Linked DNA regions of Ovis aries. The protein of the gene in region 3 purifies or fractionates together with the protein of the main gene of each other region. This does not show direct contact. Links are inferred from orthologs where the notes say so. Each region holds a gene or a part of one and is shown on either strand. Other genes may lie near its edges. The genes, in order: AP3B2, RABL6, AP3M1 and AP3S2.

Region 1 (6,973 bases), on a different chromosome or scaffold from region 3:
AGCTGTTCCCCTGGGTTCCCTTACCCTACTGCTCTCCACCCGGGTGCCCTTTCCCAATAAAATCTCTTGCTTTGTCAGCACATATATTTCCTCGGACAATTCACTTCTGAGTGTTAGACAAGAGCCCAGTTTCGGGCCCTGGAAGGGGTCCCCCTTCCTGCAGCAGAGATACCCAAGTATTTGCTGAATGAAAGAATGGTAGATACAAATGCGCGCCCAGGCTTTCTGCCCCACCTCAGAGGAGCAGACTCTGCCATCACCTCCTGCTCGCCAGAGCAGAATGAACCAGGGGTGAACCCCCAGTTTGGGCAGTCAACTCTCAGTCTGCTCAGCTAACCTACAGAATCAGCTGAACAGGAAAAGATGAGTCAGACCTTTCAATGTCCCTCTCACAGGAATTAGAACTAAACGTGTGGAAAGACTAGAGGAGTTAATGGCTGTAATCAGAGCTGGAGAGTCTGATTGGACAAAGAATAGAAAGATAGTGATGCTGACTTCTTTACCCTGGAGTTACCTTATCCTAACGACAAAAGCACCCAGTGGAGATTATCATGCATGCATCTAACATACAAAAGATGAGAATATTCAGTTTAAATGTGTGTGTGTGTGTTTGTGAGGGGTCAGCCTCCACTGCATACGAAAGGACTTGAATCTTCCCACTGTCCCTTCCCTTAAGTGATTCAGTTTCTACCTGCCTCAAAGAGCATTTTATTGCCACAAAAGTGATCCAGGTCTTTAAAAAAAAAATTTATATATATATATATATATTTTTTTTTTTTTTTAAATTTTGAGGCCACGCCATAGGGCATGCAGGATCTTAGTTTTTAGTACAGGGATCGAATCCATGTCCCCTGCATTGGGAAGGCAGAGTCTTAACCACTGGACCAGCAGGGAAGTCCCGATCCAGGTCTTTAAAGGTGGATATTTTACATCCAGTGGGGCATCTAAGACAAGTCAATTATTTCTTCGGGGGCTAAACCGAATAATCAACTTCTTCCTACTTTCAAGGAATCATTGGCTGTACTAACCTTATTGAAAATGGAATGGTCTTGTCTTTATGTTCTCTCTGCAGACTGTCAAACCCAGTCTCCACGTCTGAGGCTGCTCTCCAGCTTGGTGAGCTTTGTGGTTTTCCTCTCCATGGAGCTCATTTGTTTCCAATAAACCCTTTTGTCCTCCTCACCCAGTTTCAGGTGAAAAGGTTCCAAAGCCATTGTTCCTAGCAGATACTCAAACCAGGTGAGCCAGCCAGTGCCAAGGCTCTGACACCGAGAGGTGAGGAATCCAGGTCAGCGGGCTCCCCACACATTACTCTGTCTTAAGAAGGCTGACTTCTGCCTGGCTGTGGGCCTCAATCCCTTTACATCAGTAGGGTGAAGGCCAGTGTCAGGGGCTCAAGTGATTCATAGTTGAGGCAGCCATTAGCACAGGCGCCTTTGACTCTCCTGACTTTAGCCAGGTAGGAAAGGGCCTCCAGAGCCTGACGCCCACCCCCCAACCCCTGCACTCAGGCCTCTCCCTGGGCCCACTCCTCTGACAAACGGAATTTATTTCCTGCCCTATCGACAAACAAAGGATGTCACAGTCATCAGCAATTGCAGCCCCCATGGACAGTGAGCTGGTGATCCCTGAGGGACCTCAGGAAGAAAGAACACCGGCCATCTAGCAGTCATCAGACTGCAGCCACTTCCCATGGTGAGCCCGGAGAAACTCAGGATATGAAAACACAGGATACTGGCCGCAGATAGCTGCGGTGCACATCAAAGGAATGATTTCAGTGAGCCCAGACTCTCGCATCTTCCCACACACAGAAAAGCACCAAACTCCTTAACCCGGGTTATCTGGTTTTCTTTCATTAACAACTGTCTTTTGATGTTAGACCACCTGCCCTTTGTTGCAAAACTTCCATATAACCTGACTCCTCCCCTCACCTCCTTGGAGCAGTTCTGTCAGGGTTACTTAGATGCTGCCTCCTAGGCTTGAAGTCCTAAAAACGCCCACCTAATGAAACCTAATTCTCAACTTTTAGGTTGTGAATAAGTCCACACCTCCAATACAGCCCCATCAAGGCCCAGACCCCAGGGAGGCAAATGGAGACCTCTGACCTTCAGGCCACGCTGGAAGGTGGAGATAGACAGCAGGGCTAGGTCTTGCTGCTCCTCAGCGTAGCGCACCAGGTACACGTAGACAAGCTTCTTCACCTGGGGAAGAGGGGGTTTCTCAGCAGGGACTGGGGCCCCGTCCTGAGAGATGTCCTCACCCCGGGTGGCTGTGGTCCACAGGGAAAGCATCCAGGGTACCCTGGCCCCATCATGCTGATCCACGTCTGATTCAGGGACATCTGGGAGGGGTCTTTTCCTGGACCAGGGACTGGGCTGTCCCCTTTCTCATCCCCAACTAGCTCCGGTTTATTCCTGGAGGTGGACGAGGGAGACTCCTCCCTGGTAGCGCTCACCTCTATGTTCTTACAGGCCACGTTCTTCACCACGGCGGGGAACAGGTCTGAGGCGTTCTTTCCCCGGGCAATCATCTAGGAGGTGGGGTCAGGGTAGGGGGGGAACAAGAAGGGAGGATGCCAGCACTCACTGGGGGAAGGTCCACAAGCAGCCAAGGAGGGCTCTTGGATCCGCAAGCTCCTCCCCCAAGGGATCCCCTCTGACCCCCCTCACCGCCACAATTCTCTTCATGGCCTCCAGCTTGAGCGAATCCTTGTTGGTGTCCAGCATCGCCTTCAGGTCATCGTGCCTGGTGGGGACACAAAAGGTCAGCTGAGGGCACAACGGTGGGGACAGGGCTATCAATCAGTAGGATTCAGACAGAAAGAAGGGACCTGGGCAGGGAAGGCAGGACTCGACCACAAAGGAAAGTGGTAAAATACAGATCAGGGGACTTAGGGTGGGGAGAAGCATGTGGGTCAGTCAATGTTGCGGGGCTGAGCTGTGATCCTCCCAAAAAAGAATGTACCCAGAATGTAATCTTATTTGGAAACAGAATTGTTTCAGCTGTAATTACGATGAGCTAATACTGGAGGAGGGTGGGTCTCTAACTCAATACGTCTGGCGTGCTTTAAGGAGATGGCCCTGTGAAGAGAGAGATGCAGGGAGAATACTGTGGATACAGAGAACTGGAGTGACTCACCTGCAAGCCAAGGAACATCTGCAATATTGCTTCTCTCTTAAGGTTTGGTTTTCAGCTGAGAGGCAAGTTAAATCTTAGCTCCCCAGTCAGGGATCAAACCCATACTCCCTGCATTGGCAGGCTTAGTCTTAACTACTGGACTGCCAGGGAAGTCCCGGGTAAACGACGATGTAAATAAATAACCCCTTGCACTTGGTGGAGGGGAATAATGTTAGTCTCCAAGCCAGTATCTAAATGTCATGCAATGGCCATTGAAATTTCAAGGGAGGCCTTTTGTTAGACTTCCTGAAGTGACTGCAAAATTCATCCAGAAACAAAAATCAATAGGTGAGAACTCCAGAGAATTTGGGGGCAAAAGGGGATGGAAATGAGAAAAACGGAACAATGACAGACAATTCACCTAACCAGAATTCAAAACACAAAACAAATGACCATGATAAAAGCTGTGTGGTGCCAGATTAAAAATTTCACAAATGGATCTAAGTTGATACATTAGGAACAATTAACACCAATCGGAGAAAGAAACTTTTGCCTCCCCTTAAACAAATGCTGTTGGGACAACTGCTACGTAGCAAAGAATTTAACTTGCACATGTACTTCACACCAAAATAAATCCCACATTTGTTTAACAGTTAAATTATGTTGGGTTTCCCTGGTGGTCTAGTGGTTAAGAATCCACTTTGCAGTGCAAAGGACATGGGTTCGATCCCTGGTCTAGGAAGATCCCACATGCCTCAGAGCAGCTAGACTCATGTGCCAGAACTACTCAGCCCGCACACATGAGCTGCAACTACTGAAGCCTGCGAGTCTCGAGTCTATGCTCCACAAGTGAAGCCATAATGAGCAGCCTGCACACAACAGTGAAAAATAGCCCCCCACTCGCGCAACCAGAGAAAGCCTGCGTGCTGCAACAAAGACCCCACCAGAGACAAAAGTAGATGAATCATTTTTAAAAATTATTTCAATGTATGGAAGAGGGGAAATTTTAATTTTCAAGGTCATAAAATTATCAGTAATAAGATGCTAGGTTTTTTTTTTTTTCAACTCTTGTGTATAAACTAAATTTAAGAAAAAAAAAAAACAAGGCAAAACTGTATTTGTTCCCTAGGGCTGCTGTAACAGTACCACAGAGTGACTGGGTGGCTTAACCACCTCAATGTATTTTCTTGCAATTCCAGAGGCTAGAAGTCTGAGATCAAGGTGTCAGCAGGGCTGGCCTGTCTTCCTGACTTGCAGATGACTGTCTTCCCTTATCTTTACATGGTCTTCCCTTTGTGTTTCCTCTTCTCATCATAAGTGAATCGTATTGGATTAGGACCCGCCCTAATGACCTCCTTTTCACTTAATCACCTCTTAAAAGACTGTCCCCAAACACAGTCACATTCTGAGGTACTGGGGGTTAGGGCTTCAACATATCAGACCACACTTCAGCCCACAATAGCAACAGAAAGGAAAATATTTGGGATATGGTGAATACAAGTTTAACATTAAAAATAAAGTACTGATACAAGCTTCGGGTCTATATTCAGGACTCACTGGCAGGGCTGCCCCCTGCCATGCCCCTGCCCCTCCAGGTGGACACAGCCCTGAGCAGCTGCTCCCCAGTCGGTGAGCGGAGCGTGGTCTGGCACTCCCTGACCATGTGCCCTTGAGGAGTGAACAACCTGCCCAAGCATACCCAGAGGCCCAGCGGCTGAGGGCCGAAGAAGTAGGCAGAGAAACGCGAAACCACCTCATGGAAAATGTGTGTCTACACAGCTAACAGAGCGGCAGGACCACAGATGCGCTCATACTGTCCAGGCAGCTCCAAAATGCGATGAGCAGCTGTGAATGGAGACCTGTCTATTCTCTGACCTCCCAGATGATACTCAGATAACCCATAGCTTTGACCCTGCCAGGAGAGGTATTACCAATGGCAGGAATTAAACAGCAGTGTGTGCAAAGTTAGTCATGGAAGTGAAACACCTAGAAGCAACAGAAAATCAGAAAATAGACGTAGCCATTCTAGGAGAGGGAAGAGCATGCTAACGGCCATAAAGAGGCAAGTGTGACTAGTGCTGATGCTGAGACATGAGTAAGTGATAAATGCTGAGAGGAAGGAAAGAACCTGACGTAACAGACACCTAGTCACAGGGCTGCGTTTTGCAGAAATGTGCGAGTGCTTAACAGATAAAATCAGAAAAGACGGGAGGAGTGCTAAGAAACTGATGTTCCCAGGATTTTACAAGTGTTTCTTGTGAAGACATTTTTGATGGGAAGCAAAGTAGAAAGATGATGACTTCCAGAACACAGAGGACTTGCTAGCTGTCGGATGAGGGTTGGAGAAGATGTCCAGTCCCACGCATATTGATCTAGAACCCCTCCATACCACTCAGCCATAAAAAAAAAGAATGAAATTATGCCATTTGCAGTAACATGGATGAACCTAGAGGTTATCATACTAAGTGAAGTAAGTCAGAGAAATACCATGTGATATCATTTATATGTGGAATTTAAAATATGACACAAATGAACTTATCTGTGAAACAGAAACAGACTCACAGACACAGAGAACAAGTTTACGGTTACCAACGGGGAAAGGGAGTGGAGGAAGGATAAGTTAGGAGTTTGGGATTAGCATATACAAACTACCGTATATAAACAGATAAACAACAAGGTCCTCCTGTATAGCACAGGGAACTAGATTCAATATCCTAAAAAGCAACCATAATGGAAAAGAAAATGAAAAAAATATAATAAAATATATGTATGTGTGTTTGTGTGTGTATGTGTCCCTAAATCATTTTGCTATACAGCAGAAACTAACACAGCATTGTAAATCAACTATACTTCAGTTAAAAAAAAAAAACAAAAAAACAGAATGAACAGCTTCCATTCAGGAAGATGTCCCCCCGAACCAGAGGACGTTTTCTACTGCCTATGGCCAAGTGAGGGTCAGAAGATAACCACCTCGTCCCTCTCCCAAACACAAACCAGGTGGTCAAGTCCCAGGCATGCTGAACTCAGGACAGATGGGTGTAGACAGAGGTACAGACCATTTAGCTGGGCCTGGGCAGCACGGAGGGCGTGGGGAGAATGACAGAACTGGGCACCATCTTCCCCAATACACAAATGCACATCACGCACCCAGGATCCTTTGTACACACGTCCACACAGTCAACTCACCCCTGCAGATCCCCATCACCCCAACACCGCATCAAACACTGGTATCACCAATATACTCTCACATCTGTCCCCACAGAGACACCTACACTCCAGAGACATACTCATACCCCCAAAGACACACTTACATCCCTCAGATATATGTAGTTCTTACATAAACCCACACACACTCAACAAACCCCCTGCAGACACACCCGTAATCCCCACAGAAACATACAAAGACACATATACCACACATACCTTCCCACAAAAACACTCAGCACATAAAGCCACACACCTGTGGACCCACACGCCTCACCTGCAAACGCCTACAGACACCCACCACAAGCCCTCTGTACCGCCCCACACCCTCATCTAGACATGCACACCCACACATGGCCTCCACAGACACACGCCACCCACATCGCGCACACATACAGCCTTTTGACAAAACTGCGTCACTCTAATCTCATTCACCAAAATGGCCTGCGGACTCCTATGTGTGATTTCTGATGATAAATTTAGGCTTCTAAGATCAAATATATCCAGCCTCACAGATCCTTTGACTTCTTTACGGGTCAGATGGGCACCAGTTGGAGCTGACTCCGGGGCCCTTTACCTTCAGGAATTCTCTGCAGCAGGTTTCCTCACACCCAAGCGTCCTCACCTCCCCTACAGATGCCACAAGCCCATG
Region 2 (7,631 bases), on a different chromosome or scaffold from region 3:
CAGAGACATTACTTTGCCGACAAAGGTCCGCTAGTCAAACCTATGGTTTTTCCAGTAGTCATGTATGGATGTGAGAGTTGGACTATAAAGAAGGCTGAGAGCTGAAGAATTGATGCTTTTGAACTGTGGTGTTGGAGAAGACTGCTGAGAGTCCCTTGGAGTGCAAGGAGATGCAAGCAGTCCATCCCAAAGGAAATCAGTCCTGAATATTCATTGGAAGGACTGATGCTAAAGCTCCAATACTTTGGCCACCTGATGCAAAGAATGGACTCATTGGAAAAGACCCTGATGCTGGGAAAGATTGAAGGCAGGAAGAGAAGGGGACAACGGAGGATGAGATGGTTGGATGGCATCACTGACTCAACGGACACGAGTTTGGGTGAACTCCAGGAGTTGGTGATGGACAGGGAGGCCTGGCATGCTGTAGTCCATGGGGTCGCAAAGAGTCGGACACAACTGAGCAACTGAACTGAACAACTTTAACATATATTTGTTTTCTATTCTGTTTTGAGAATGAAAAGCCTTAATTTTCTCTCCAACTGAAATCCTTTTAAAATTTGAAATCTATTCTTCAAAAAGCTAATTAGAAGAAAGTGTATAATACCAGAAATAAACAAACAGACCTGGTTTCATCTGGTTAAAAAAAGTAACTGATCTCTACTTCTAAGTAAAAAAGTCAAATCAATCTTAGAAACTTAGACATCACTCAAATAAATCAAGTGACTCACTGGAAACCCTTTAATTAAGACTCACCCGGAAGTGGCAAGAAGCCTTCCCCGAGAAGCGCGCGGGCGTCTTCCTGAGCAGAACCCCTGCATTTCTTTCTGTCCCTTTTATTCTAAGGGAAGAGCGCCGCAGGCAGGATCGGCTAAGGGCCGCAGAGTCTCTTCTACTCCCTGATTCTATAGTAACTTACTCAGACTGCCACACACTGCAAGCGAAACAGGGAACCTTTTTTCCAAAATAGGAAAGAAAGCTTCCGGTTTACCCTGGATGGGAACGACGCGTTCCTCGGCAGGAGGCAGGACTGGAACCCGACGGTGCCCTTCGGTGGCGCCGCCAGCAGGGGTCGCTGGACAGCCGGCCCCTCCTTCCGGCAGCGCCTGCCAACACAGCCTCCAGGGTCTCTCTTCGCGGGGCCCCTGGGATGGGGGATGGCGCGAAAGCCTTGGCCCCACGCTTCTCTCCGGACCTCACCGCACTGTGACCCGCCCTCGGCCCTCCTCCGTGGGGCCGGCGCTAACCTTCCGCCTAGCAGTCTCAGCCAGTCCCACGTGCTTAATTCCTCGGCGTGTCTTGTGCCCGCTGCCTGCCTTCCACTCTCCCCTGAAAGGTAAGCCCCGAAATGCAGAGACTGCGGTCTGGGTTTTCACTGATGAACGCTCGGTAAATATCTGCTAAGCAGATGAATGCCAGGGAAGGAAAACCTAGGAAGGAAAGCGTGGCGCACGCCACGGGCAGCAAATGCTCAGGGACCTGCAGGTCAGCCCTGCTGGGGCAGGCCCGACAGTCTGCCAGACGCAGCTGCTTATTTCCGAAAGGAAACGCGCTCTCATCCCGTGACCAACCTGTCAAGGCGCTGAGTTCTAGCACTGAAATCTGACTGGCCAGGACTCTGAATGCAGCCCCGAGCGAGGGCGCAGGACCGACAAGGCCAGTGCACCTCACCCCACCAAGCACAGCTGACCGCCCGGGCCCACCAGGGGCAGAAAGGGCAGACAGCTCAGGGAGCACCCTGCCACTTTACACGCGAATGGCTTCTGACCCGCAGATACGGTCCCGTGTCTCACCTGGGTTTCGATTCTAACTGTGATGTGTATGCTGGGACTGTGCATCTGAGTCACTCCTCACCATCACAGCAATCTGCATGAAACGACTTATCTGCTGCACGAGAACAAAGTTCTATGAGAGCTCTTCACCCATAAAAATCCTGAGTCCGTAGTTATCATATGGCTGCGGTGCTTCCTTAAGTAAGATGTTTCGGAAAATACAGACTAGAAATGTTCTTTTCTGCTGACTAATAAAGGAAATAAAAAAAAGTTTGAAAAGCGCGTACTGGCCCACGACAGGGGCAGCATCAGCCTGAAAGGCCACCCGGGCACAGGGCTCGGTTTCTCTCAGCCGCTCTGCATTTCACTCACTTTGCTCCACCTCAGAATCTGCTGCCGCGCACCCCCCAGTACCTGAAGTGGGGGCTCTTCTCTGGAAGGACGCCAGTGTCCTTTCTGCTTCTGACCCACCCCCCAACCCCAACCAGGGGGCATGTCCACCAGGGAGGGCTTTTCAGGTGAACACTTTCCAGGCCAGTTTCCAAAGGAGTAAGATTAAGTTTTAACAAATACTACCATAACTAATAAAATTAAGCAGAGACATTACTTTGTCAATAAAGGTCCGTCTAGTCAAGGCTATGGTTTTCCAGTGGTCATGTATGGATGTGAGAGTTGGACTATAAAGAAAGCTGAGCGCCGAAGAATTGATGCTTTTGAACTGTGGTGTTGCAGAAGACTCTTGAGAGTCCCTTGGACTGCAAGGAGATGCAACCAGTCCATCCTAAAGGAGATCAGTCCTGGGTGTTCATTGGAAGGACTGATGTTGAAGCTGAAGCTCCAATACTTTGGCCACCTGATGCGAACAGATGACTTATCTGAAAAGACCCTGATGCTGGGAAAGATTGAAGGCGGGAGGAGAAGGGGACGACAGAGGATGAGATGGTTGGATGGCATCACTGACTCAATGGACATGAGTCTGAGTAAACTCCAGGAGTTGGTGATGGACAGGGAGGCCTGGCGTGCGGGAGTCCATGGGGTTGCAAAGAGTCGGACACGACTGAGCAACTGAACTGAATTGAATAAAATTAAATAACAGGAACCAAATGTGAATTATAAGACGTGAAAATGAGGTGTTTTTTAAAACAAATATTTATTTACTTTTGGCTGTGTCGGTCCTAACTGTGGCCCATAGGCTGTCTCTGCGGCACAGGCCTCTCTCTGGCTGGGGTGTGGGGGCTCACTGGTGGTGGCCGTGGGCTTAGCTGCTCCTGGGCGTGTGGGATCTGAGTTCCCCGACCAGGGGTCGAACCTGTGTCCCCTGCACTGGAAGGTGGAAGCTTAATCCACTGAACCACCAGGGAAGTCCCTGAAAAGGAGTATTTTGATTTACTATTCTCTTCTGGGAATGTGAGAGAATCACACACAAAATTGGGTAGAATACCTGCAAAACGATTCCTCTTTTAAGTTCAAAGTCTTTGCAATCAGTTTCTTAACATGGCACATTGTTAACTGAAATACAGGGGTCATCACAGAGACTGGCAGGCTCCCCTGAAAGTCGGAAATGGGGGAATGTCCGGTATCTTGTAGCAATATACAGAAATACTCCAGAGGGAAAGATTTAGAAGCAGAGAACACATTAAAACAAACAAACAAACAACTTCAAATACCGCTACGGAAAAGCCAGCAAGATGGAAAAACTTTAAAGAGGTCAAGAGGGCAGTCAGCGTCTAGGAGCTTAAACAGTTTTACATAATTTATAGCTGAGGACTGGAAACGATCTGGGCTTTCAGGCCATCGGGTAAGTAACTCCTTCCCACAGGAGAAGAGAAGTCTCCGCAGTAACAAGGGTCTGTTCCTTCTGGAGCCCTTCTAAATATATCTCTTACAAATGCTTCTTTTTTTAAAAAGGGGAGCAAGAACGAGCGGCGCAGCTGACATTCTCTCTTCAAACCGAATACCAAGTCTACAAAGAAAAACCCCGTAGGTCAAACTAGCAGGCCAGCGGAATCCCCCGCTCCGTCCTCCGGCGGGTGGCCACACGGCTCGCGGGCGGAGAGCCCGCCACCCCTTTAAGACCCGGTCACAGACCACAGACTCGCCCGCGTTACGTAAGAACTCCTCTCAGACGCGGTCACCTGGGCCAGCCAGGGTGCCGCAGACGCGCCAGGGGCCGCCTGGACCAACCGCGCCGTGCACACGGGACGCACGCCGGTCGCCCCCGGGCCCGCCTTCCTGCGGAGTGACCCACAGGCCAGACGGCAGAGCCGCGGGCGAGGCCCCGGCCCCCGGTCCTGCGCTGCCCTGGGCCCTCCTCGGCGGGCCGCGTCCCCTCCCGACCCCAAGGGAGCGCCCCGGCGCCCCCGCCATCCGCGCAGGCACAGGCAAGGGCTCGGCTCGCCGGAACGCGGAGCGCAAGGCCCTCGGGGTGCGACGAGCGCCCGGGCGCTGCCCGGATTCGGCGAGTCCCGGGCGGCGCGGCCGGGCCCCCACCCACCCCACACGCCCCGCAGGCGCCCCCGCGCCGGGCCGCACTCACTGTTGTACTGCACCCCCTTGGCGAAGCGCCTCTGCAGCGCCTGGTTCATGGACTGCAGCCCGGCCGGGATGTTCCTGTCGCGGCCCGGGGCCTGCTCCGACCCCACCAGCTTCTTGAGCGCGGAGAACATCTTCCTGCTCCCACGTCCGAGCCCGGTACGGCCCGCGAGCTCAGCGGCGGCGGCGGCGCGGCGCTAGTCGCACCATGTCCCGGGGTCCGGCGGGCGGACGCCGGCCTGCAGGGCAGCTCGGGGGCTCAGCTGCGGAGGCTCCGCTCCGGCCCCCACGGCCCCCGGCGCGGCCGCTCTGTGCTCGTCAGCGCCGCCATCTTGACGCCGGCTCAGCGGGGCGCGCACTACGGGGCGCCGCGAGGGCCACGGGGGTGCAGCGCGCGTGCGTAGAGCGCTGCGGGCGCGGGGCGTGCGGCTACGGGGCGCCGCGAGGGCCACGGGAGTGCGGCTCGCGAGGTGCGGATGCGCAGAATGCTGCGGGCGCGGGGCGCGCGGGTACCGGGCACCGCGAGGGTTACGGGAGGGCGGCGCGGTGCGGGCAAAGGGCCTGACTCTGCAGTCCCGCCTTACGAGTTTGTCCCCCGGATTTCAGCTCAGTCCGGATCCCCGTCCGTGCCCCGGCCTGGACCCTCCTACTCACCCTCGCCCCTGAATCCCAGAGCCCAGACCCACACCGAGCATCCCACTCCCCTGCACACTTCCCCACGTGATGCCCTGCATCCGCGTCCCCTCGGCGCCCCGAAGTCCTGGAAAACTGTTTATTTGTGTAGCCAATGCAAGCGTGGGGGCGGGGTGTGGGGCGGGGCGGCCTCCTCCTCCTCCGGTCACTTCTTCTTCTTCTTGGCCGCCTTGAGCTTCTCCTCCATCAGCCGCTGACCCTGCCTCTTGATCTCGGCCCGCGAGGGCACGTAACTGTGGTCCACGTCGGCGAACTGGAAGGTCTCTGCAAGGAAGGAGGGGGAGGGCAGCCGCGCCCGTAAGCCCCTCTGCCCCGCCTGTGTCCCCAGATCCTGGGCTGTCCTCCGGCGCCCTTTCACGGCAGGGCCCGTTGTACCAACGACCTGTATTTCTTACTCTCTGTCTGGCGTTTGGGGTCTCGCACACTCGGGGAGAGAGACAGCCCAGGGTTCCCCCAGTTCTTCCGGAGCCCACACTCGACTGCTAATATCTACCCTATACGCCAAGCCTGAATCCCTCAGGGCCAGGTGCCAGACAAGAGGAGGACAGCCCGGAGGCCGCAAACGCCCCAGAATTTTTAGAATGGAAGGGTCTTAAACTGTGTGCCCTGCTCTGCCCTTCCCACACAGACCCCCGTAGGGGCCCTGGCCTAGGTCCCCCTGCCTGCCTACTGGCACTGGTGCCTTGTCATCACCTCCATCGGTTAAAATCCCGTGGGTGCAGCTGACGCGGCCTCCCCATTGCTTTAGCCCCCACTGTCCCTCCAGGCCACCCTGGTCGTATGCAGCTAGTGCCACCCCTCGCCCCTGCCTCTACACAGCTCAGGCCGGCCACCCGCCCCCGCCTCCTCTCCAGCTGCTGGGCCTCCTGTACCTATGACGTCCTCCTCCGTCTCCTCAAAGCTGATCCTGGTGTTCTGCTTCTCCTTCAGGGTAGAGGACTCCAGCATATCCCTCACCTTGTTGTTGACCTGCAGGGCACGGGGCCAGTGAGCCTTGGGGCAGGTGGGGCGTGCAGGCACCCCTGGCCCAGGGCTACCTCCTCCGTTCCAGCCAGCGTCTGCACTCGGTCAGCCAGGTATAGCAGCCTCCCCTCGCAGTACGCCAGCTTGCTGTACATGTCCAGGGTGGTCGAGGGCGCTGCTTCCTTCTGTAGCGGCGAGGAACCAGTTGTCTCGCCCTGGCCCCTCCCAGGGACCCTCTGTGCTGGGGGCTCCTCCCAGCTCCGCTGGTACCTGGCCGGTGGGCAGCGGGATGCCAATCAGGCGGATGTAGAGGTTGTCGATGCCGGTCTGGATGGTCAGCAGCAGCTTCTGGCTCGTGGCCATCTTGCTGTGAGCCAGCTTCAGCCGCTCTTCCTCCTCCTTCAGCATATCGTTCATTTTCTTCTCGACGGACTTGAAGCTGTTGAGGATGAGGGTGGGAGGTGGCAGACCGAGGGCGCAGCGGCGGGGTCCAGAGCAAGTGCTGTGCTAATTTGGGCTCAAGAGCTAAGACGCGGGGGGCGCCCTTGCCAGGCCCTGAGGCAGCGAGCCTGCTCAGCTCCAAGCCTGGTGCTGTCAGTGCAGAGAGAGGCGGGACCACCCGCGTACCTGATGGAGCTGGGCGTCTGGCGGAACTTGAGCGTGGCCTCCTCTATCTCCAGCCTCTTCATCAAGGCGTCCAGCTGCGCCCGCCTCTCCTCACAGTCCTCCTTCTGCTGCTCCAGATCCTCCTCCGTGCCCTTCTGAGCCAGGAACCGGCCGGCAATGTCCTGGCAGGGCCAGTGGGGTGAGCAGCAGCTGTGAGCCGGGAGGCAGCTGGTTCTGGCCCCCAGTGGTCAGTAGCGTCGACCGCGGCAGTGTGTGGAGGGCCCGCGAGGCCCTCGGTGTGTGTTCTTGCACGCCGCCCTCACGACAGGCAGAGCGGGCAGACGACCCCAACGGAGAGCCGGAGCGACCACCGCCAAGAGGCCGAGTGGCTCTGAGTCGCTTGTCCGAGGGGGCATAAGCTTATGTCAGGACCATGGACAGGAGCTCAAGGTTTGCTAATAATAATCTCAGAGCGGATTAAAGTAAAAGGGGGGTCAGGTGGAGAGGCAGCTGCTGTTGGTTTGGGAAGGGGAAGGAGTCGGAGGTGGAGGCCACCCCCTCGGGGTTTAATCTTCAACTTCCCGTGGGCTCTGTGTGACCCTGGACCACAGCTCAGGTTTGCTGGCTGCGTCCCAGGAGGCCCTCCACTCTGATCTGTGGCTGCTTTGTGTGTCCATTCACGTGAAGGTGTCTGCAGAGCCTGGCCGGGCTCGGCCGGGCCTTGGGCTGGGGACGGGTCCCTCCCCTGCCCCTCTGCCCACACCCAGGAGTCAGGGAGTAGTACCCAGAGGTGGGAGCACTGCACAGCAGTCTTGACCTTCTCCACCAGAGCAGTCACATTTGTTTCGTATTCGACGTCAGCCTTGGAGGCCTCTCTCTTCCTCACTGGGTGCAGCAGAGGGGAAGGATAGCCAGCGGGCAGGGAGGGCATGGGAGCTCTGTGTGGGCCGTCAGATGCCCCCCACGTCCTCAGGGGAGGCCACCCAAGAGCTGGGTACCCTTCAGAGTCGCCTCTGTCTTAACTGGCTCCCTCCTCGGCCAGCCCTCGAGTGGCTCCATCCAGAGGAG
Region 3 (7,662 bases):
TTAATACAGTAAGATAACAGGGGAAAAACAGTGTGCTATAAAAGTCCACAAGGCTTCAAGGTGAGAAAGAACATAAGGTAAAGAAATCCAGTACAAATTTAGCAACTTCAGAAGGTGGATGGAGGTGGTGAGATAAAAATGGAGAAAAGCAGATATTGGTTCACTTTGTTCCCAGTGCAATGCAAAAAGTCATTTTTAAAATGGTTTTATGCAGGGGATTCATGCAATCCAATTTATAGTTTTAAGAAAGATCACACTATGGAAACTGGATAATTGGGCAATTGAATATTGTGACATTAGCTGAGAGATGACTTATGTGGTGGCCTACACTAGAGTGCTGACAATACAGATGAAGCAAAATGAAAAGGTAAGAGAAACATTTAGGGTTGAGAAAAGTTTTGGGGGTAGAGACGGGGCAGTGGACATGAGAGGGAAAAGGAGGAATTTAGTTCTGGTCCTATATAATCTGACCCAATTCCGGATATATTTGACCCCAATGGATATATTCAAAACACCACTGTATACAGAGGTCTGGTGCTTCAGAGGGAAGCCAAACTGGAGACAGATTTGTGAGTACTGTAACTATGATTTTTTATTAATGGAAATTATAACAAAAGGAGGCTAAAACTGCAAACAGAGAACGTATATAGTAGAAGAGAACCTAGAGAAAGAACTTCAACATTTGAGAAGCATATGGGTCAAGTCGGCCTACAAAAAGAGTGACAAAATGTGGCTGAAGATGGATAAGGAAAAAAAAGGGGGCAGAGTTTTTAGTAACTAGAGTATGTCAGTCAGTGTGTTTCCAGAACAATGGAGCGGTAAACATTTTAAATGGCACAAAGAGGTCAAGCTATAAGAAAAACTTAAAATATCTGTTATTTTACAGTGTTCCTCAACTTTTTTTTTCATTATTGCATCTGAAGAGGCCTTTTCAGAACCCCATTCATTATTAATTCCCCATTCCTCCATAAAATTATTAAAATCATAGAATATTTCTGTACACCTCTTTATGTACCATAAATATCTGTGCTTTATACATAAAAAGTATGATTTTTTTTTCCTCATAAGAAGCAAATTTTGTCCCTGATGAGAATGTACAATTTAGAGGCTATTGGTGATCTCAGTGAAAGAAGTTTCATTGTAGCTCAGTGGAACAGTGGCAAAAAGATATACTACAGTGGGCTGAAAAGGACATAGCAAGAAATGGGAAAAACAGAGATAAGGAGAGTAGATGATACAGTCAAAAACTATAGCTGTGAAGGAGATAAAAAGGCAAGAAAATAAAGGGGAATAGTTCATAAAGTTAAGGAAGGATATTTTTAAATGCTGAAGGAAAAATGTGAGTAGAAGGGAGGCTGATGATGTAGGAGAGAGGGAATAAGTTAAGGAACTCTGAGAAGGTAGGGGAGGATGGCACTGGGAAACTCAGTGAAAGCATGTGTCTTTCCTAAGGAGAAGGGGCACTTTCCCTTCTTTAAACAAAAGGAAAGCAGATTTGTATACTTGGTTGCAAGATGATGGCTTCTATTTTCTCTGTCCAAAAGAAGAAAAGGTCATTTGTTGAGAAAGTGAATTTCTCCTCTCTACAAATACCATTTGTTATGTGTGAAGAGCTACTTAAATATATCTAGTCTGCAGGGAACTCCAACAGTCTATTATGTTGACTGTTTAGAAACCCTGTAAAATCCTAAGATTCAGTAAGAAAAGCTAAACCTTGTTGCCAAGAGAGCTTCCCAACTAAAGGGATATTAGGATTCCGGTAATTTTTCTCTCATCTCAATCCTCTACTTTTCCTATGGTTCATCTGAAAGTGTCCTCTGTCCTTTGCAACAGTAATCCTTTCACCTCTAATTCTGATCCCATCCCCTCTCCTCTCTTCCAAGGTCTTACTTCTTCTTTCTTGAATCTTTAATCTTATACATTAGTTACTTGCTCATAAAGTGCCTTGTATCCTTTAAAGCAAACAAACCCCAAACATTTTAGGGAGCTTGCAAACAATTTTTCTCTTCATGCTCCACATGAAGAAGCATTGGTCTACACTTGCAGTCTCTCCTCTCAATAACTGACTCTTATTAAAGCAGTTCTTGGAAATGACCCAATGCCTTCTTAATCATCAATTCCAACAACCTATTCTCAGACTTCAACTTCCTCCTTTGATCCTTGCAGCATTTCATGTCGCTGTTAGGTGTCTGCCAAACAAAACAAATACTTCTTACCAAATTATATGAAACTTCACCTGTTTTGGTTCTCACCTGGAAAGTTTCTTTCTGGTTTGCTTATCAGAATGTTTTTTTTTTTTCAACCTTTCATCTCCATCTAAACTACTATCTCAAAATGGATATAGCCCAAGTCCTACAAAATTCCTCCTTCTCATGTGGTGTTGTTTAGTTGCTAAGTCCTGTCCGACTCTTTTGCGACCTCATGGAACTGTGTAGCCCGCCAGGCTCCTCTGTCCATGGGATTTCTCAGGCAAGAATAATGGTGGGTTGCCATTTTTTCCTGACCCAGGGATCGAACCCGGGTCTCCTGCATTGGCAGACAGATTCTTTACCACTGAGCCACTTGGGAAACCCTTCTCAGGTGAAGACTACTAATTTGAAACAAGTATCAACAAGTCTTCCCTGTAGCTCAAAGGGTTAAGAATTCTCCTGCAATGCAGGAGACCACGGTTCCATTCCTGGATCAGGAAGATCCTCTGGCGAAGGGAATGGCAATCCACTCCAGGATTCTTGCCTGGAAAATCCCATGGACAGAGGAGACTGGGGGGTTCGTGGGGTCGCAAAGAGTCGGACACGACTGAGCAACTACTACTACACTATCAACTTCTTAATCAAGCTCCAACTTCAACCCAAATCCAACTGTCACCTCCTCAGTTTAGATTCCTATTAACTCATTTTTGAAGAACTGCAACACCCTTCTCACCGTATTCCCCGAGGCTCATCCAGGTGCCACCCTCTAACAGGAGGCCCGCTCGCGTCAGCTAGGGATTTTGTCCTCCAAAGCAGAAGCCTGGGGTTGAGGTCCGAGCTGTTGGTACTCCAGCTCTCCGTGCGTGACAAGACCTTTTTCCCGCGCCGAAGCACGACGAGCGACCCCAATGAGCCTGAACCTCTTGAGCTTGAGGTCTGAAAACACTGGGCTGTTAGGTGCACCGTTCCCTTCCGGCCTAGCTGGCAAGAAGAACCGGAAGGCCGGGAGGAAGGCGCGGCTTCGGTTCACAGCACCAGAGGCGCTTCCACACCCCTGGCTGGAAGCCGGAGCTCTAGCTACTCAGTCTACTTCCCAGCTTTCGTGATGTCCCCTGTCCGTAGACCACCCCTCTCTCCCCCGCCCTCACACTCACCCCGGCTCCTGGGCCCGTCAGTGATTAGACGCGAGGTCCTCTCCGGACCGAGGCTGAGACAGCTGAGAAAGCCGCGAGGACCCTGCAGTTGGGATGCCCAGTAGATTGCCTGAGTAACAGCATCAATATAACCAATAGTTTTGGGAAGAGTAAACGAGCGGGAAGACGCTGAATGAGAAGACGTCTTTCGAATTTTAGGATATCATCTTCTGAATCATCCAGGTCTAGAAGAATGGGAGCGTTCACCTCTTTTGGACTCAGGCGCTCATCTGCAGCCTAAACCAGTCTGGGGTGTCCCTGGAGTTGAGCGCGCGGGGTCTGGAAGAGCTGCGTACCAGCCAATGGGTAAGGCCAAGAGGTAGGGCCAAAAGACTGGGGCTGGGAGAGGCACGAACTGGGAGGAGCCAAAGGGGCGGGGCTTAGTGACAAGGAGGCGGTGATGCGGCCAGGGGGCGGGGAGAGGGAGCCGAAGGGGTGGGGCGAGCCGTGGCGCGTAAGTGAGGTGGGAGCGCGAAGATGGCAGCGGCTGAGGAGGAGCCAAAGCCCAAAAAGCTGAAGGTGGAGGCGCCTCCAGCGCTGAGGTGAGCCCTACCTGACATAGGGTGGAGGGCGACGATGCCTGCCGCTAGCCAGGGGCCACGTAGGGTTGCGCGACAGAGGCGCTGGGTGGTAACCTCAACCCCCGGCATGAGGCCAACGCACGGGACGGGTAGCTCTGGTAGTTGCCCGCGGGGCTGCGACCCTTTGCCCGCTGTCCGTCCAGTCTGGCCCAGTCGCCGCAGGCTCCTGAGACGCTCCGCCGCCCTTGACCAATCAGAGCGCCGGCCGGGGTGCGGAGCCGGCTTTGGGCAGGCTGCCGGCGCCACGTGGGAGCCCGCCCCCACTTGGCTGTGCGACCCGGGAGGACCGGACCGGACCCGATCTGAGCCGAGTCAACCGCGGTCACCTCCTCTTCCCTGGGAGATGACGAGGAGAATGCCCAGCGACTGGCCTACCCTGAGGCAAAGATAGAATTCTTGGGTATTTTTCGTAAAGGTCGCGGAAGGGCGCTTTGACCTTCCTTTTAGCACTTAGGTAGATCTGAATGCTGGTACCTTTGCAAATCCTCTACCGGGAACCAAGACCCCGCCTCCGAGGCTTTGCTGGAGTGGGGTCGGGGGCGTGGGGATGGCGTTTGCCAAAATGGTTAGGAAAGGTTAATTTTTCTTCTTTGCACATTTGGCAGCAGTGGAGATAGTTCCGCACCTAACATATGATTTGATGTTGCAACTTTTACTTACAAAACGTTACTGGTTAAAATATTCGTTTCTGATAAGTATAAAGTGGAGTATGCACGTTTCTGGATGATTTTGCAATGCTCTTTGGAAGGCAGTGGGTTTTCTATGTAAAGCTAGATATATAAAACTGATTTAAAACTATTGGGACACTCCTGATTATACAAATTTAGTTTCTTCCAACATGACCCTTCTTCACTTTTGAAAGAACTAATCTTTCATGTTTGAAAAGATCACTTAGGAGTCCGGTGGTCTGTTCACGCTGTTTTCAATGGATAATTATGAAATCCCTGCCAGTATCTTTAATATATTCATATTACCTTCAAAGGGCCAAAGTGTTAGTGTGCCTACCTTATATAAAGAAAATAAACTTTTTTTTCTCCCCCACGACTCAGGTTGTCTGTTTTCGTTTTAAGCTTTCAAACTACAGACTAAAGCAAAGGCTTTTAAGTCAGACCTACCTGAATTTGAGTTGTTAGGAGAAGCAAACTGAAACCGCCCACCCTGGCCAGGCACTGTAATAACCATTTGCCATGAGTTATTTTACCATATGAGGTCATGGTAAGGGACACGGAATTAACAAGCCACCATTAACCAGATGTATTTGGGAAGGGTTAAAAGGAGGCATCATGTGTCCAACCATCTCCCAGAATCTTTCTCACTGGCATCCATCTTGGCTAAACGGTGCCTGTTCCACCAGGAAGGACCCTGAATCAGAAAGATTGGCCAAAGACAACCCGAAAACTAATCCATCACCTAAAACTTCAGACTTCAAGAAACTGTGACAGAGCAGTTCTCCTGGGTTGTGTTAACCTACTGCTCTCCGGCAGGCGTCCCTTTCCAATAAAGTCCCTTGCTTGGTCAGCATGTGTGTCTCCTTAGATAATTCATTTCTGAGTGTTAGACAGGAGCCCACTTTTGGGCCCTGGAAGGGGTCCCCCTTCCTGCAAGAAAGGCATATGCTTTCCTTGAAAAGCACCTTCTTAACAAAGTTTCCTGTACCAAATTGGAAGACAGCTCCAACTTTTCCCCCTCCTATCCTACTGAAGATGCAGCCCTTAGATTTTTCTCTTCTGCTCCTCCATTTTCAAAGTGCTTTCCTGTTTTACAGATGAGAAAATGGAAGCCCAGATGAAACAATAAAGGAACTGAAGTTTGAACAGAAAGAATCTGGGTGCAAGTTCATTGTTATTTGACTTTACTATACCTACTTTTATACAGTCACCCAAGATATGCTTCTCTCTGACTATGCAGCCTTAAAAATAATCATAAAAAATAATGTTTAATATGTATTGTTTCAGCATTTTGCCTATTTTAACTCATTCAATCCCACAACCACCCTTCAAGGTAGACACTATATGTCCATTTTACCAAGGAGGAAACAGGTATAGAGAAGTTAAGTTAACTTTATCGAGGTCAACTTTATTAACTTCACATTTTGATCAAAAGCCCTAGTGAACTATTAACTCAGCTTTTGTTTTTTGTTTTGTTTTTTGGTCACTGTGTATAATTTGTTGTTGTAATACATGAGCATATGATACTTAATAATTCTTAAACGTGTATAATGTTATTTTACGTGTCATTAGTGTCTGTCTACCTAAAACTTGAAATGGCAACCCCCTCCAGTGTTCTTGCCTGGAGAATCCCAGGGACGGGGGAGCCTGGTAGGCTGCCATCTATGGGGTCGCACAGAGTTGGACACGACTGAAACGACTTAGCAGCAGCAGCAGCAGTGATTGTCTACCTAAAACTTGTAAGTCTTTACTAAGTGTAGACATGAAGGTAGGATTAGACACTTGAGTACTGGAATAAATCTCTTCATTTTGTGTGAAGGCCTTTTGTGATTGGCTATTCGTACTTTCATTATATTCATTTGTCTTTAAGGATCTCGGTGTGATAATGTACTGAGTGGTTAGATTGTGTGCCTTATTTACGATGACTTGCTTGACATTTAAGAGGCTAGCTACCAGTTTTGGTTAACTTTTAAGAGGATGGCTTATAAAGGCTGTTGTTCAGTCATCAAGTTGTGTCTGACTCTTCATGACCCCATGGACTGCAGCACACCAGGCTTCCCTGTTCCTCACTATCTCCTGGAGTTTTCTCAAACTCATGTCCATTGAGTTGGTGATATTATCTAACTATCTTATCCTCTGTCACCCCCTTCTCCTCCTACACAGGAAGCCTCCCAAACAAAAAATTATCCAGGCAAAAGTGACAATAATGTGGAGGTTGTAAAAACTCTGCTCCAGAGAGAGCATCTGACAAGTCTAGTTTCCCTTTCTCAAAAAATATCTTTCTAGGCTTTTTAGGGTTACTGAAGTTGGAAAGAAGCTAGCTCTATCATGTTTTCACACTGGGCCGAGGAACAGAAGGGAACATTAATTGAGTGCCAGGCACACTAGGTGCTTTATATATGCTATCTCATTTAATCTTCAAGCCACCTGTGAATGAGCCTTGTGTTACAGTGGTGTATTTAGGCCTGAAAGAAGTCCAGAAGCATTTTGGGGAACTGTTCCCTGGATAAAGGTGTTCCATGATGATTACCTGTATTTAGGACCACTTTCTTTTCTCTCTTTTGGGAATGTCATCCAAGTTCATTTCTTGATCCATCTGGGAGGATAGAGTTCCTTCCCAGGCTTTCTGAGCACATGCCAAGTCTATTCTTTTAGTCTTTCGAGTGCCTGCTATTTTAGGCATGGTGCTGAAAACTAGGTACACGAGGTGAGAGAGCGAAGAACTGGTACCATCTTCTTGGTGGGAAAATGACACCTGAGCACTCCAAAAGGTGACAGAGCGCTAGCCAGGTGGAAAATAGGGTGTCTGGCTTTAAAGAAAAGTTTGTTTGGAGGTAGAAATGGGAGAGAGCTGCCTCTGTTGGGGAACTACATCTCTTTGGTCTGACTGAAGCTGGAAGGTATAAAGGGGTCCAGGTTTTGTACTGAACACTTTCGCCTGTGTGATCTCTCTACCTCTATGTCCTTCAGACCTAATTTTAACTGCTGAATATCTCCTACGCAGTGTCTTGCTGACACTTTAAAGTTGTAT
Region 4 (6,973 bases), on a different chromosome or scaffold from region 3:
ATATTTCATTTATTTTCTAATACACGTGTTACATGCACATTCCTATAGCATTCTATAGCGTAAAATGCTTAATACATTGTCACAATTGAATTCTACAACATAGTATTTTGGATTTTTTTAGTTGAAATATAGTTGACATACAACATGATGTTAGCTTCAGATATACTATATAGTGATTTGACATTTGCATATATTACGATACAATCAACACAATAAGACTAGTAACCATCTGTTCCCAAACACAGTTATTGCAATATTATGGGCCACATTCCTTAAGTTGTATACTATATCCCAGGCTCATCTGTTTGACACCCAGAGGTCTGCACTCTCAGTCCCCGTTGCCTGTGCTGCCCTCCACCTCCATGCTCCATCCCTGACAAACATCCATTTGTTCTCTGCAAGTCTGTTTCCATCTTTACAACCTAACATTTCTATACCAGATGGGGGATCCATGACTCACACCCAGGTTTTCTGATTCTAGATCTTGAACTCTTTCTGTTACACCACACTGACTCTCAATACCCAATCTGACTCGGGTGTTAAGAAAGCATTTAAAACTACCACAGAGATGAGTCCCTTTTGGCTATTTCCAGTATTTATTTATACTTTTATATATGATAAGTGAATATGATACCTGAACTTTCTAAACTAATACTAAATCATTTTCTGAATGTGAATGCGTAAAATATATAAATAAAATGAAAATTTGCTATATCTAAGAATATAACTTTTTGGAAGAGTACAGTATATGTAAAATAAAAATACACATTCAAAATTTCCATTTCTTTATCCTAAAGTTTATTAAATTTAGCTTCTTTAATTTTATCTTAACAAAATATAGTTGTAAAGAAGTAAAGTTTATATTTTATAGCTGGAGTTTTCTATAATTGGTGTTATTAGGTTTTACACATGCTCTTTTTGAGTGCTTTCAACTTAAGTGACTTGCTGAAGTCACACAAAGTCTATCCAGAATATCATGTACCAAATAATGGAATTGTCCTAATTAATGGTTCCCAGTACAGGGTCCCACATACCTCAATTTCCATGAAAGTAATGAAAACAAATCTGTAAGCCATTTCTAATTTTCAAAAAGCCTTAAAAAATCATGTTTACCTATGTCAAGACTGTACGTATTAGACAAAACATCAAGTTCCTTTGTTTCAGGCTAGAATTACAAGTGAAAATATAAAGTATGTATTTTAAAATATCATTTAGTTTGATACTTGAAAAAAAATTTCAAAACGTGACATGATGGTATAATTTATAATGACAAGTATTTGGTATTCATCCTTGTTGCTGGCTCCTAAAAACCTTGGAATTTCCAAAGTGATAGGGTTGCCTTGTTCTGCTAATAAGGTTAACTTTTGGAAAGCATCAAAGAATAGGGGCTGGTTGCCATGGGAACCAACTGTATGACTGGGAACTCTGAGTCCCACTTACTGATCTCTGGGAGGGGAGAGGGGATGCAGACTCAATCAATCACCAATGGGCAATGATACAATCAATCATGCCTATGTAAAGAGGCCTCCATAAAACCCAAAAGGGATAGGTTTCAGAGCTTCTATGTTAGTAAACGTGGAGATTTGAGGAGGGTGGCACGCTTGGAGAGGGCACAGAAGCTCCACACCCTTTTTCCCCTGCCCTGTGCTATGCATCTCTTCCATCTGACTGTTCCTAAGTTATATCTTTTCACATTAAGGTAGCAGAGAGTAAAATGTTTCTCTATAAAGTTCTGTGAGCCACTCTAGCAAATTAACTGAACCTGAGGAGGAAATCATGTGAGGAGGCAATCTTGGGCCTAGTCAATCTACAGGCTGTCAGTCAAATGCACAGGCGACAGACAACCCAGACCTGACGTCAATGTCCATCTTCAGGTAGATAAGTGTCAGAACTGGGTAAATTTGGGGGACCCCTGGTGAGTGTCCATGGAGAACTGAGTTACTTGCTTCAGGTGCGGGGTGGGGGGAGTATACATACAGGAATTGGTGTCAGACTCAAAAGAAAGCCAAAGGCAGTGAGCTGGAGAAGCAGAGAACCTAAAAGCGCTAAGAATGGTTGAGGGCTGCTAAGGAGCTTTCTCACAGCACCACCTGGTGGACATGCAGCAATGTTTACCAGTATCGATAAAGAGACTGACTTAAGGATCTACATACAGATAAAAAATTTTTAGCTACTACAGATTTTTAGCTACTAAAAATCCAGACCAAACTTTCTGAAGTGGCTACCATCATTACCTGCTACACATACCTGGATGAGGTCCAAGATCCCAAGTTCACTCTCTGAGGAATCCACACAAAATACAAAGTAGAGGGTAGCATAATGCCGATAAATCAGTTTGTAGTCAGAGCCACCAATCAAACTGTGGAAGACGGGAAACATTTAAAAGCTTGTATTTGAACTGAACATATCAAAGAGAAGCTCTGTGCCAAGGAATGAAAACGGGCCCAAAAGAAAGCAGCAGGGTAGGCCAAACAATAGGCCATCTCCACCAGCTGAAGGACAACCAAATTTGGCAGAGGTGCCTAAAGCCATTTTGCTTCATTTTTTCTTCTACCCATCCTCCCAGGATGGAGAAGGCAATGGCACCCCACTCCAGTACTCTTGCCTGGAAAATCCCATGGGTGGAGGAGCCTGGTAGGTTGCAATCCATGGGGTCGCAAAGAGTCGGACACAACTGAGCGACTTCACTTTCAGTTTTCACTTTCATGCATTGGAGAAGGAAATGGCAACTCACTCCAGTGTTCTTGCCTGGAGAATCCCAGGGACGGGGGAGCCTGGTGGGCTGCCGTCTACGGGGTTGCACAGAGTTGGACACGACTGAAGTGACTGAACAGCAGCATCCTCCCAGGAACCAAACATATAAATATCTGAAGCACAATCATTTAATAGCTTCCCAAACAGAGCTGAGTCTCTCCCTGAGCAGACTATGATCAGCTCAGCTCAACTGCATCAGATACTCACCAGACACTTAAGCACTGCCTGAAGAAGCAATAATGGCATGATAAAGGCCACCCGAAACTGGTATATGGGGAGAAAACTGATGATTTACCTTCCACCCTCCAAGAAGTTACAGATGTTGTCATCCCGCTTGAGAACTAGATGAAAGGTCTCTCGAACAATCTGCTGCTGAATTTCTTCTGGCTATGGAATAAAAGAAATAAAGCGAGTCAGTGGAAAAGTCTGAAAAACTATATCCCTTCCAAACAGGAATGATCTGAACACTTGGTACCAGCTTCTTGAAAAGACAGAAATGATGAGTAAACGAAAAATACAAGGAGAAGCTATAGAAAATGGAAAAGGCTCTGTTACAGGAAACAGAATAGGGTATATTTACCTAGATATCTAGTCCCTAACCATTACTGTCTTGCTAGGTGAGCTGATATTTCTCATACAATGTCAAAGAATTCTCATACAAGGTTAAAGAATACCTAGAAGGCACAATCCTGAAACATTTTATATTACTCTAGAAAACATCTGCTGCTGAGTCACTTCAGTCGTGTCCAACTCTGTGCAACCCCATAGATGGCAGCCCACCAGGCTTCCCCGTCCCTGGGATTCTCCAGGCAAGAACACTGGAGTGGGTTGCCATTTCCTTCTCCAGTGCATGAAAGTGAAAAATGAAAGTGAAGTCGCTCAGTCGTGTCCGACTCTTCGCGACCCCATTGACTACAGCCCACCAGGCTCCTCCACCCATGGGATTTTTCAGGCAAGAGTACTGGAGTGGGGTGCCATTGCCTTCTCCGAGAAAACATCTATGCCAGGACAAATAACAAATGTCAATAGATCTACCACTGTAAGGAAGTCAAGATGTAATCATGTACATGTTTTAAAAACCTACATGAGAGCCCCTTGGACCGCAAGGAGATCAAATCAGTCAATCCTAAAAGAAATCAATCCTGAATATTCATTAGGAGGACTGATGCTGAAGCTGAAACTCCAATACTTTGGCCACCTGATGCGAAGAACTGACTCACTGGAAAAGACCCTGATGCTGAGAAAGACTGAAGGCAGGAGGAGAAGGGGACGACAGAGGATGAGATAGTTGGATGGCATCACCGACTTGATGGACATGAATTTGAGCAAGCTCTGGGAGCTGGTGATGGACAGGGAAGCCTGGCATGCTGCAGTCCATGGGGTTGCAGAGTTGGAAACAACTGAGCGACTAAACTGAACTGAATACCAGTAATACAGACATTATATATAAGATGCTGTGTGACCAACAAAGTACTACTGAGAAAGCAGAAAATATTCTATTGAGAGATTTGAATCTTGAACAATTGCAGAACTATAAATAGCTTTTTTCACTTACTATTCACTTACTACACACCAGAAAGCTCAAATGTGATGGGATCTCTTGATGACCCACATTTGATTTCTATTTATACATAAGAGGTTCATATTAAGTATGTTAAAAAAAAAGATATGGAGAAATCAGTTATTAAAACAAAAACAGGGACTTCCCTGGCAGTCTTGTGGTTAAGACTCTGCACTTCCACTGCTAGGGGTGTGGATTCAAATCCCTAGTTGAGGAACTAAGATCCCACATGTCTCTTGGCCAAAAAAAAAAAGACAAAATTAAAAGCTCTAGACTAGTGCTCTCAAATCTCAATGTATAATGGGATTTTCCCAGCAGTCCAGTGGTTAGGACTCTGCGCTTTCACTGCCAAGGACACAGGTTCAGTCTCTGGCAGGGGAACTAAGATATCTCAAGCGAGATGTCTCAGCCAAAAAAAAGCAACAACAACAACTCAGTGAGTTTGAATAATGAATCACCTAGAAATACTGTTAAAATGCAGGCTAATTTAGTAGGTCTGGGGTAGGTCCTGAGACTGCAGTTCTAACAAGTTTCCAGGTAATAAGAACGCTGCTGATCTGAGAACCATTTTGAGTAGCAAAGCTTAAGAAAACCATCAGACTGGACTTACCCTCAGAGTCAGAAAATAAACTCAAGTAACATTAACCCCTTTCCCTCTAGAGCACTGAATTTAGGCTAGAAGTGGTTGGTTATTTAAAAGAAACAGAAGAAAAAAGAGGAAACATCATTGTGGAGCAATTACTTTTCATAACTTTGACTTACACAGGTACACAGTGGCTCTCCATATTTAATGAATGGATGAATAATAAAAACTTGCTAATAACTGGTCACTGTAAGTTTAAGTAAATCAATCACTATTTTTTGGTTTCCATTTAAAAGAACTCACAAAGTTCACAGATGCCAGGATGCTGTAAATGTTTAACTCTGTGTACCCAGAAATACAAAACACGCTAAGCACCAGCATTTTTAAACCAAAAAAATTCTTGAAAACTATAGTCTTTTATCTGACTGTACCGGGAAGTGATGGTAGTCAGTGGGTAAGCAGTATGAAATGGTGAGGCTACCTAATTTCTAATTCAACAAAATAGTAAATTACCAAATGCTTACATCTGTCAGTGATTTTCATAATCCTTCATATCTTTTAGTACTTTGCAGTTTCCAAGGTTATTTTCACTAAGGAGCTAATTTAGTTCTTAAAAATCCTACGCTCTCCAAAGAAGACATACAAATGTCAGTAAGGGGACGAAAAAAATCAGTCATTAGAAAAAACCAAAACCACAAGGAGAATCTACTTAACACCTACTAAAATGTCTCTGATCAAAACGATAATAGAAAATGCTGACAGAGAGGCAGAAAAATTAGAATTTAAAAAAATATTTATTTTTGGCTGCGTTGAGTCTTAGTTGCAGCCTACAGGCTCAGTAGTTGCGGTATGGGCTTAGTTGCCCCAGGGCACATGGGATCTTAGACCCCAATCAAGGATTCAACCTGAGTCCCCTACATTGGAAGGCAGATTCTCAACCTCTGGACCATCAGGGAAGTCCCAAGCTGTACTTCTTATATATTGTTGATAGGAATGTAAAATGGTATAGCCACTTTAGAAAGCAGTTTGGCAGTTCATCCAAATGACCACTACAAAGTCACTATGTGACTCAGTAATTCTACTCCGAGACATACCCAAGAGAAATGAAAGTACACACTCACACAAAAAGCTTGTACATGAATGTTTATAGCAGAATTATTCACAAGAGCCAGAGGTAGAAACAGCATCTGATGAATGGATAATCAAAATGTGATAGATCCACTCAATGCGATATGTGCCAAGTTACTTTACTAGCCTCTCAATACAACCCTGTGGACAGTAGCCCACCAGGCTCCTCCATCCATGGGATTTCCCAGGCAAGAATACTGGAGTGGGTTGCCATTTCCTCCTCCAGGGGATCTTCCCCACCCAGTCACTGAACCCAGGTCTCTTATGTCTCCTGCATAGGCAGGCAGGTTCTTTATCACTAGCACCACCTGGGAAACCTATCTATGGAATGTAACTTGGCAATAAAAAGGAATAAAGAACTGGTAACACTAAAACATGGACGAACCTCAAAAACATTATACTAAAAGAAAGAAGTCAGTAACAAAAACCCACATATTGTATGATTCCATTTTACATGAAATGTCCAGAACAGGCAAATTTAGAGAGAGAGAAAACACATCATTGGTTGCCTAAGACTAGGGAAATTGAGGAGGAAATACAGAATAATTGCTAATGGGTAGGGATTCCTTTTGGGGATAATGAAAATATTCTAAAATTGTGGTGATGGTTGCATAACTTTTAAAGTAGTAAAAACCATTCCATGTATATTTTTTAAAGGTGACCTGTAGGTATGTAACATATCACAATAACACTTTTAAAAACCTGAGAAAAACTGACCCACAAATGCAAACTGAATAGTTACTGAATGTTAATATAAATCGACATGATTTAATAAAATGCAACCCAGCTATAAAATTCTATTTAAAAGGTACCCAAAAGAATTTCTTTCATTTCTATTCATTCTATTTAACAAGAGGAAATAAAGTCTGAAAGAGGTTTGTTAACTTGACACAACGATTAAAAAAAAAAAAAAAAAAAAAGGTGTTGCTGAGGCCTGAACGTAAGTT

Evidence for each region.
Region 1: the proteins of AP3M1 (region 3) and AP3B2 purify together in Homo sapiens (co-immunoprecipitation; 3 studies listed by BioGRID and IntAct, counting the BioPlex papers as one, with this or other methods). This does not show direct contact. The link is inferred for Ovis aries from reciprocal best matches to the Homo sapiens genes AP3M1 and AP3B2.
Region 2: the proteins of AP3M1 (region 3) and RABL6 purify together in Homo sapiens (co-immunoprecipitation; 3 studies listed by BioGRID and IntAct, counting the BioPlex papers as one, with this or other methods). This does not show direct contact. The link is inferred for Ovis aries from reciprocal best matches to the Homo sapiens genes AP3M1 and RABL6.
Region 4: the proteins of AP3M1 (region 3) and AP3S2 purify together in Homo sapiens (co-immunoprecipitation; 3 studies listed by BioGRID and IntAct, counting the BioPlex papers as one, with this or other methods). This does not show direct contact. The link is inferred for Ovis aries from reciprocal best matches to the Homo sapiens genes AP3M1 and AP3S2.

Annotation. Positions count from the first base shown.
Region 1 is NC_056071.1:22,311,363-22,318,335, forward strand, and holds part of AP3B2 (AP-3 complex subunit beta-2), read right to left. Parts: intron 2,746-6,973; coding exon 2,670-2,745; intron 2,531-2,669; coding exon 2,456-2,530; intron 2,202-2,455; coding exon 2,106-2,201; intron 1-2,105.
Region 2 is NC_056056.1:1,046,717-1,054,347, forward strand, and holds the start of RABL6 (rab-like protein 6), read right to left. Parts: upstream 4,636-7,631; 5' UTR 4,436-4,635; coding exon 4,306-4,435; intron 4,047-4,305; exon of another isoform or gene 1,791-4,046; intron 1-1,790. Other genes in the region: CCDC183 (coiled-coil domain-containing protein 183), read right to left, coding at 5,140-5,258, 5,867-5,963, 6,032-6,142, 6,228-6,396, 6,585-6,745, 7,348-7,448. UniProt on the Homo sapiens protein: May enhance cellular proliferation. May reduce growth inhibitory activity of CDKN2A.
Region 3 is NC_056078.1:29,225,051-29,232,712, forward strand, and holds the start of AP3M1 (AP-3 complex subunit mu-1), read right to left. Parts: upstream 4,110-7,662; 5' UTR 3,936-4,109; intron 3,925-3,935; coding exon of another isoform or gene 3,860-3,924; exon of another isoform or gene 3,839-3,859; intron 3,385-3,838; exon of another isoform or gene 2,923-3,384; intron 1-2,922. Other genes in the region: ADK (adenosine kinase), read left to right, coding at 3,860-3,924. UniProt on the Homo sapiens protein: Part of the AP-3 complex, an adaptor-related complex which is not clathrin-associated. The complex is associated with the Golgi region as well as more peripheral structures.
Region 4 is NC_056071.1:20,605,773-20,612,745, forward strand, and holds part of AP3S2 (AP-3 complex subunit sigma-2), read right to left. Parts: intron 3,142-6,973; coding exon 3,050-3,141; intron 2,360-3,049; coding exon 2,248-2,359; intron 1-2,247. UniProt on the Homo sapiens protein: Part of the AP-3 complex, an adaptor-related complex which is not clathrin-associated. The complex is associated with the Golgi region as well as more peripheral structures.